Linked DNA regions of Mus musculus. The protein of the gene in region 1 interacts with the protein of each later gene in a pairwise test. Links are inferred from orthologs where the notes say so. Each region holds a gene or a part of one and is shown on either strand. Other genes may lie near its edges.

Region 1 (3,747 bases):
AAGGCGCAGGCCAGCACCCCTCCTGTGCCGCTGGGCAAAAGTCGACCGACAGCGACACTTTTCCTTTAAAGAACCGGCGCTTCATTCCGCCTTAAAGGTACCAGGTCCCGTCTGCGGCTGAGGACTCAGGAATTGGTTTGGCCGAAACCTTCGTTCCCCTTTAATCCGACAAGCCTACCTTGTCTCATTGACCAGTGCTGGCTTCCGCTTCCCAGGCTCCACCCCGAGCTCTGGACGTTAGCTTGCTCGCGGGATCTAACAGCCCTTTTCCCAGCATATGAGAACCCCCCAAGCCCCGCCCCCCTCCTCCAGGCCTGGATTGGCCAAATCACCTTGAGTCAGCCCCTGATTGGCCTTTTCACTCAGACCGCTCAAAACGAGAGAGGAAAGCTGCTTAAGAAGGCTTCCGAAGCACTTATCTTTAAAAGTGCCTAGGGGAAGAAGGCTCAAGGAAGGGTTAAGGATGAGGACGCCCTAAAAAGAGAGCCAGGATAGAAAAGGCAGATCCAGGTGACAGCTGTCACAAGAGAAAAGGCAAAGTAAAGGAAAGAATACAATAAAAAGAAATTCATTGTTTATTAATGTGTCTGTGTAAAACTTAAAACATTTTGATTTTTTTTTTTTGTCAAAAGAAACACCATCAAAACGGGAGGAGCTCTGTCCATCTTTTACTCCATCATCTTCCAACAGCCATACAAAAAACCTTCTGGATGCAGGGAGCACGGGGAGCATGGGGCCTGCTAATCAGAGTCTGAAAGCACGATGATCTCCTCCGGGTCGCACTGTGTGGCCACACTGGTCTGCAGACAAGTCAGAGGAGAAAGAAGGGTGAGCCAGGCATGGCGGCTCACGCCTTTAGTCCGAACACTCAAGAGGCAGAGGCGGGCTGATATCCGAGTTTGGGGCCAGCCTGATCTACTACATACAGAGTTCTGGGACAGTCAGGGCTACATAGAAAGACCTTGTCTCAGAAACAAAACAAAGCAGGATGGAAGGCTGGAAGATGGCTCAGCCACTAAGCACGCAGCTGCTTTGCAGAAGACCCGAGTGTTGTATCCAGTCTCACATGGCGGCTCTCTGCCTTCTCCGTGACTCCAGATCTATAGGATCAGACGCCCTCTTCTGGCCTCCATGAGCACCAGACACAAATGTAGCACATAGGTATGCATGCCAACAAAACACCTATTTACATAAAATAAGTCTTTTTTGTTTTGTTTTACATGGTCTCACTATGTAACCTTGACTGTCACTGGGTAGACTAGACTGTGGCCTTGAAGTTAGAGAGACCTGTATGCCTCTGCCTCCTGGTTGATGGGGTTAAACCTAAACACACACACACACACACACACACACACACACACACACACAGCCAGTCTTTGAGACTTTGTGTGTTCTTTTTCCTCCCCTTTATCCGCCCCCATCACTAGATAGAAAAGAAAGGATAGACAGGAGAGACAGGATCTCTGATTCTAATGTCTCTCTTCCTGTTTGTTCTTTGAGCAAGACTACTAACAAACCACAACCAACCCCTGTACTACCACCAACCATGCTTCCTGGAAGGTGGGGAGGCTCTGCCATTTATATGCTCTCCTGAAAAGTTCCCAGAATTCCAAACATCACTTCACACAACCAAAGCAACTATCTGTAGCTGGTAAAGCCACACCTCTAGAGCTCACAGTCACAGTCAGTTGGAAGCAGCCCCACACTCCACACCGGGATTAAAATGAAAACCTATTTCACTGGTTTTTTGTTTGTCAGTTAGTTGGTTTTTGGGTTTTAGACAGTTTCTCTGTGTGGCCCTGGCTGTCCTGGGACACACTTTGTAAACCAGGCTGGCCTCAGACTCAAGAGAGATGCTCCTGCCTCTGCCTCCCAGGATCAAAGGCATGTGTCGCTACCACTCAGCTCTGAGTTGTTATAAAGACGCCAAAATTCCAAAACTGTCACTACACAAGCATGCATGCACGTGCACGCACTTGCGGGCGGGCAGGAAGATGGGGAAAACAGAGGAGCAGGAGGTGCAATACCCACAGAAAGGGAAAGGGTGAGAATGCAGTGCCAGGGGACACTGCCCACTCACCTTATAAATACACTGCCGGAGAGACTGAGCCTGGGGTGTCTGGAGAAGCAGGGATGGAGAAGGGCTGCACAGAGAGCTGGTCACCAGTTCATGGCTGGGAGAGTCCACCCTTGTGGAGGAATCAGCGACAGAAGCCACAGAGGCCAAGGGGGGGGATGGCATAGGCTGGACACTTGTGTTCTGCCCACTGTCCTGCTGTGCCATCGGTTCTTTTATATAGCTAAGGACAGAAGAAAAATGACAGAAAGGGCCTGAGGCTGCAGGGAGACCTAGGACATCAGGCTCCCTTCAGAGAGTCCTGCCTCCTTGCCTGCCTTCCTCCTCACCCACTATTACCTGTTTCCTAACAGTCCAGAGCCCAGTTGCTTCTTTTCCTTCCGAAATCTCTTGCTGGGGGGACTGGCATCTCTCCAAGTGTGAGAAGAGACACGCCCATTGACAGATGTAGAGGTAACCACAGCTGCCCCATTTTCCAAGATGGTGGGGAGGGAATCTTCCGACTTTTTCCTGGAGGAGGAAATGTCCCTTTCCTCAGGCAAAGCTTCCATCTCTAGCTCAGCGAGCTGGGACACAGGACTCTCGTCTCCCAGGAGCGGCTCGAGGAGCTGCTCTCCACTGCTCTCAGCGTCAGTGCTGGGAGGGTCCAGGGATGCCCCTGGCGGGGATGCTGGGGTCTCTGTCAGTCCTCTCTTTTGCTGCCCCTCGGGGGTCCTGAGCCCTTCTGCAGGCTCTGAATTCCTTCTATGGAAAAAGTCTGAAGGCGATGTGGGACTCTCATTTCCTTCATTATCTGGAAAAGAAAGGGGAGGGGTGGATGAGGAACAGGGATAGAGGGGCTGTGCAAAGGACATAGGAGAGGGCTGGAGAGATGGCTCAGTGGGTAAGAGCACCGGACTGCTCTTCCAAAGGTCCAGTGTTCAAGTCCCAGCAACCACATGGTGGCTCACAACCATCCGTAACGAGATCTGACGCCCTCTTCTGGTGTGTCTGAAGACAGCTACAGTATACTTACATATAATAATCAATAAATCTTTAAAAAAAAAAAAAAGGGCATAGGAGGAGGAAGAGGAGGAGGAGGAAGGAAGGAAGGAAGGAAGGAAGGAAGGAAGGAAGGGAGGGAGGGAGGGAGGGAGGGAGGGAGGGAGGGAGGGAGGGAGGAAGGGAGGGAAAGGCTCAACAAGGAGCTCATGTCCGACAGAGCAGAACTAACACCACAAGGATGCTCCCCACAGAGGAGCTCCGTTTACGCATATACCTCCTCCTTCCTCTTCTTCATCACCCCCCTGATCTTCCTGCAACTGTTCTAGATCCTCATCTTCATCTTCAGTAGCCTCTTTCTCCTCCTCTTCCTCCTCCTCCTCCTCCTCACTTTCCTCGTTATCTTCGTCGTCGTCATCATCATCGTCATCATCGTCATCATCAGTCTCAGCTTTGGAGGTAGTAGGGCACTCCTGGGATGCCATTCCGCTAGGACCCTGAGGGAAAGAGCAGTCTCTCTTAAGGAATCCCGTGCCCCACAGCTTTTTGATTGGTAGGAGGAGGACTCAACTCTGGGAGCTCATGACTGCGAGACTGCAAGGCAAGCACATCACCAATATTCTTTCCCCACTTCCATACGCTGCTCCAGGAGTCACCCTGGAGTGCCTAGTGGCAGTGCAGGGCGCAGA
Region 2 (3,647 bases), on another chromosome or scaffold:
GAAGGGGTGGCTGCAGAATGAAGGCCCAGAGCAGGGTCAGAAACCCTTCACAGGGTGAGTTGCTTAAAGCATTCTGAACAGACCACATGATCATGCACGTTCATTCATCTCCCCAAGCTGGTTATACACAGCCACTGCAGTTGGGCAAGCATTGCTGGAGAAGTCTCCACTGGTAAAAATGGCATTAAAAGGGGGGGGGGGGGCTAACATGGAAGCTTTAAGAGAAAATAAATACACTGAAGAATTACAAGGGACCCCAGGAACATTTGTTACGGCCAATGACCAGCTGCTTCCCAGGCAGCTCGCGGCAGACCGCAGGAGATGGGATGGCCACTCCTACCCAACGTACGCTAGGAGATGGAGAGAGGTAAGAAAAGCCTGTGCAGGAGTGCCCTCAAGTCGCTTCTCGACCGTGCGAAGCTGGCTAAACCCTGAAGAGGAAGAGGGTCTTCTCCAACCACATCAGCGAGCTTCTTTCTGGCTGAGGACTGGTTAAGAAAACAATGCTCAGACAGAAGCAGCTTCCCAAATCAAAGTCGAATACAAGGGGAAGCTATTGTTCTCAAAATTAAAGAAGTAGTCCCAGATAAACAAGTATGTCTGCTGTGAACATTCTGCCCTTCTGCTCTCTCCTGTAGTGATGAAGACAGAAATGCCAGCTCTCACTCCACCCTCTGCTCAAAAGAAGGCAATGTTCACAAAGCAAATCAGAGCCTAAGGAACGAGTGGCCATGACTGTACCAAACTAGTCCCTTTCCATTACTCATTTTTTAAGTCACATTAAATTTCTCAGGAAAGCAGCACCCCCACCCTCACGGAATGCCACGGGCTTCTTAGCAGGGCAGAGAGTTCCCTGGTATCTCATCAAAGGTGTGTTCTCATCCTAGCTATAGATGCTAACTGCCATTCCATTTCACTCTAGCACAAACACACCAAAAGCCTAAGAAGGAAAACCGTGTTTCCACGGAGGATGGCCTGCCCTCTGAGTCACCCATAAGTAGGTATTCCCTATGCTTCAGGCTCTTGGAGTTTTTCTTATCTCTTCAGCCATTTTTGTATGTGGAGGGCCAGGATCTGAAAGGGCTTCATTTAGCTTAAGTGCTAAGGTAGGCGTCACCACTCTCTTGCAGCCTCACCAGATGGTTCTCGGTTCAGACTGTGGTTTAGCGTGGAGGGCAGCTTTAGTCTTAGTTCTATTTCACAACCCTGGAGCTGGAAGCCTTCATTAACGGGTATTTTCCCCAAAACACTGACTTGAATCCAAAAGGATTAGGTTCTGCTTCTCTGTTCGATCCGGGAGGCACGCATCCCTGAGACTAGTACTGACTGTCTTCTCTAAGAAAAGCCTCTGCAAGGTCCTTCCAAAGCTAATTGAGTCCACCGAACAGCACTCTGAACAGGAGACGGGTAGCCTCACAGCCACCCACAGAAAAGACTTACACAAAGACAGGCCTTAGAGCTCAAATAAGTGGGACAGAGAAGTACTTTGTATACTGTAACACAGCATCTGAATACTGCGATTATTAATAGTCAGCTAACAGTAATGTCTTCAGTCTAGACCAATCACAACAGTCAGAATCAATGGCCCTTTGGCCAGCCGTGTCACAGCACATCTACCAGGCAGCAAGCAGGCTTGCACAAGCTGGTCTTCCCCTTAAGTCTGTGGCCTGAGCTTGGAGGAACTGAAGGACAGGAGAGCCACAAAGAAATACCTGACGTCCTTCGGTAAGGATCAGTTGGGGTTTATAATCATTAGATAGGGTTTGAAGGGTAGTGAGGATCCAAGAACCAAGATGAGGAAAGGGAAAGGAGGGCATTTCCACAAATGCAAAACCAGCCACAATTGTAAAGTGGTATGATTACAGATGTACACAGATTTACAACACGGCTGAACCCCAAACCCACAACTCGGTCTCCTTAAATATACAGAGAGACAGCCCCACGAGGGAAAAAAAATGTTGCTAAGGCTTCAACCTGCTTAAGAAGAAGTGCACAGATGCACACACTTGAGGGTATGTATTTAAATAGACATGTACCCAAAAATAAGACAGGCAGAAAAGGGGAAGACAGACCCGGTCCCACCCATTCCCTTTAGTTTAAAACAAAAACAACCTAGGAGCATAAGATGGACATTCTGGGTACTGATTTTGCAGGGACTTTCCCTGTACGAGGCCAGAGAGCTCTCGCAAGGCAGGCTGGGAGCAAAGAGGAGCTGCAGTTAAAGAGCATCCCTAGCACAGGAGGGATGGGTCACATTGAGCAGGTAGCACGGGGAGTCATTCGGAGAGCAAGAATCACTACTCTCCTCTTCCTGTCTTAATACTTTCCCACCAGGAAAGTCATTTCTAGGCTTTTCAGAAACTACTAGGCTTTTCCTGGGTGAAGAAGGCCCTCCTTCTATCAGACTTCACTTTTCTCAGCAACAAGATCATCAGAACAGGCTCCTTCTCAGAGTGCGATGTTCAAGGCCATGGGTTCAACATCAGGTACATCTTACCTCTGGGGCATCAGGTCAGCGAGACCTATTTTCAAACACTGACTTCACTGCCAGCGACTATTTATCACTGCTATAATAGCCTTGTCAACAAGAGTACCTTCTTTTGGAAGCCACTGGCCACCTTTCCCCTGGTCTCCTAGCTAAATACATACTTTCACCAGGCTGTTGATGACCAGTTCCAAATAAACCACTGGTTAACCATCTTGTATCTTCCCAAACCAAAGAAGTCACAAGTGGCTAATTTCCCAGGATGAGCAGCGAGGGTCATCCCGGGTACCAGTCCAGGGTCTACAGTATGACCCAGGTGAACCCTGAAAGGCTGCCAAAGCACAGGCCAAATTTCAAGATTATGATCTCAAGCAAAACTATCTTAAAGAAACTGCAGCCTGCCTTTCAAAGTCCAACTAGAAGTAATATGTAGGCAAACCGTGTACCCTGATAACACATTTGATTATTACTCTGCCATGCTCAGTTCCATCATGGACCCCAAGGTCTCTGTCATCATACTGGATAAAGCTAAAATCTCACGGCAGAAAAGTCTTCTTGTCCATACACTTGAAAAAATGAAAAGCTAAGACTGGTGAATAAAGGAGTGATAAGTGAGCAAAACGGGACCTGGACAATGAAGGAACCGAGGCAATTTTTGTACAGCCAAGGAGTCTGAAAGTAAAATTGACCTACCACGACTGGCTCTCCCCAGGCACATGTTGTCTGGAGTTAACACCTCTTGCTTGATGGCAAAGTAGTCTGTCTGCAAGGTGTCTGTCTGGAGAGGGTCCTGGAGAATGACAGAAGGGTAGTCGTTCTCATACTTGAGGGACAGGAGTTCTTCCGAGCTGATAGGATGCAGCGTCTGATAGGACTCTGTGATGAAGCTGGGCTCTGAGAACTCTGAGGGAGGAACACACTGAGCATGCTCGATACCGTAGCCTAGAAAAGGAGAATGTTTACAGTTGGAGACACTGGGACCTGAGAGAATCCATTCTCACTCCTTATCAAGCCCCCCTCCCCCCATGTGATGTGAGCTGACTCCCTTAATAGAGAAGTAAAGAGTACATCAGAAGGACTTGGGTTCAACCTTGATGCACAACTTGCTACCTGCAGCCCTTGATAAGATACCTTCCCTTTTGCCTTAATTTACTGCTCTGTA

The links.
Region 2: the proteins of Daxx (region 1) and Ets1 interact in binary tests that used the Homo sapiens proteins (3 or more experiments, as listed by UniProt). The link is inferred for Mus musculus from reciprocal best matches to the Homo sapiens genes DAXX and ETS1.

What each region holds. Positions count from the first base shown.
Region 1 is NC_000083.6:33,912,396-33,916,142, reverse strand, and holds the end of Daxx (death domain-associated protein 6), read right to left. Parts: intron 3,556-3,747; coding exon 3,336-3,555; intron 2,871-3,335; coding exon 2,417-2,870; intron 2,338-2,416; exon of another isoform or gene 2,301-2,337; coding exon 2,081-2,300; intron 801-2,080; coding exon 741-800; 3' UTR 553-740; downstream 1-552. UniProt on the Homo sapiens protein: Transcription corepressor known to repress transcriptional potential of several sumoylated transcription factors. Down-regulates basal and activated transcription.
Region 2 is NC_000075.6:32,733,720-32,737,366, reverse strand, and holds part of Ets1 (protein C-ets-1), read right to left. Parts: intron 3,428-3,647; coding exon 3,179-3,427; intron 1-3,178. UniProt on the Homo sapiens protein: Transcription factor. Directly controls the expression of cytokine and chemokine genes in a wide variety of different cellular contexts. May control the differentiation, survival and proliferation of lymphoid cells.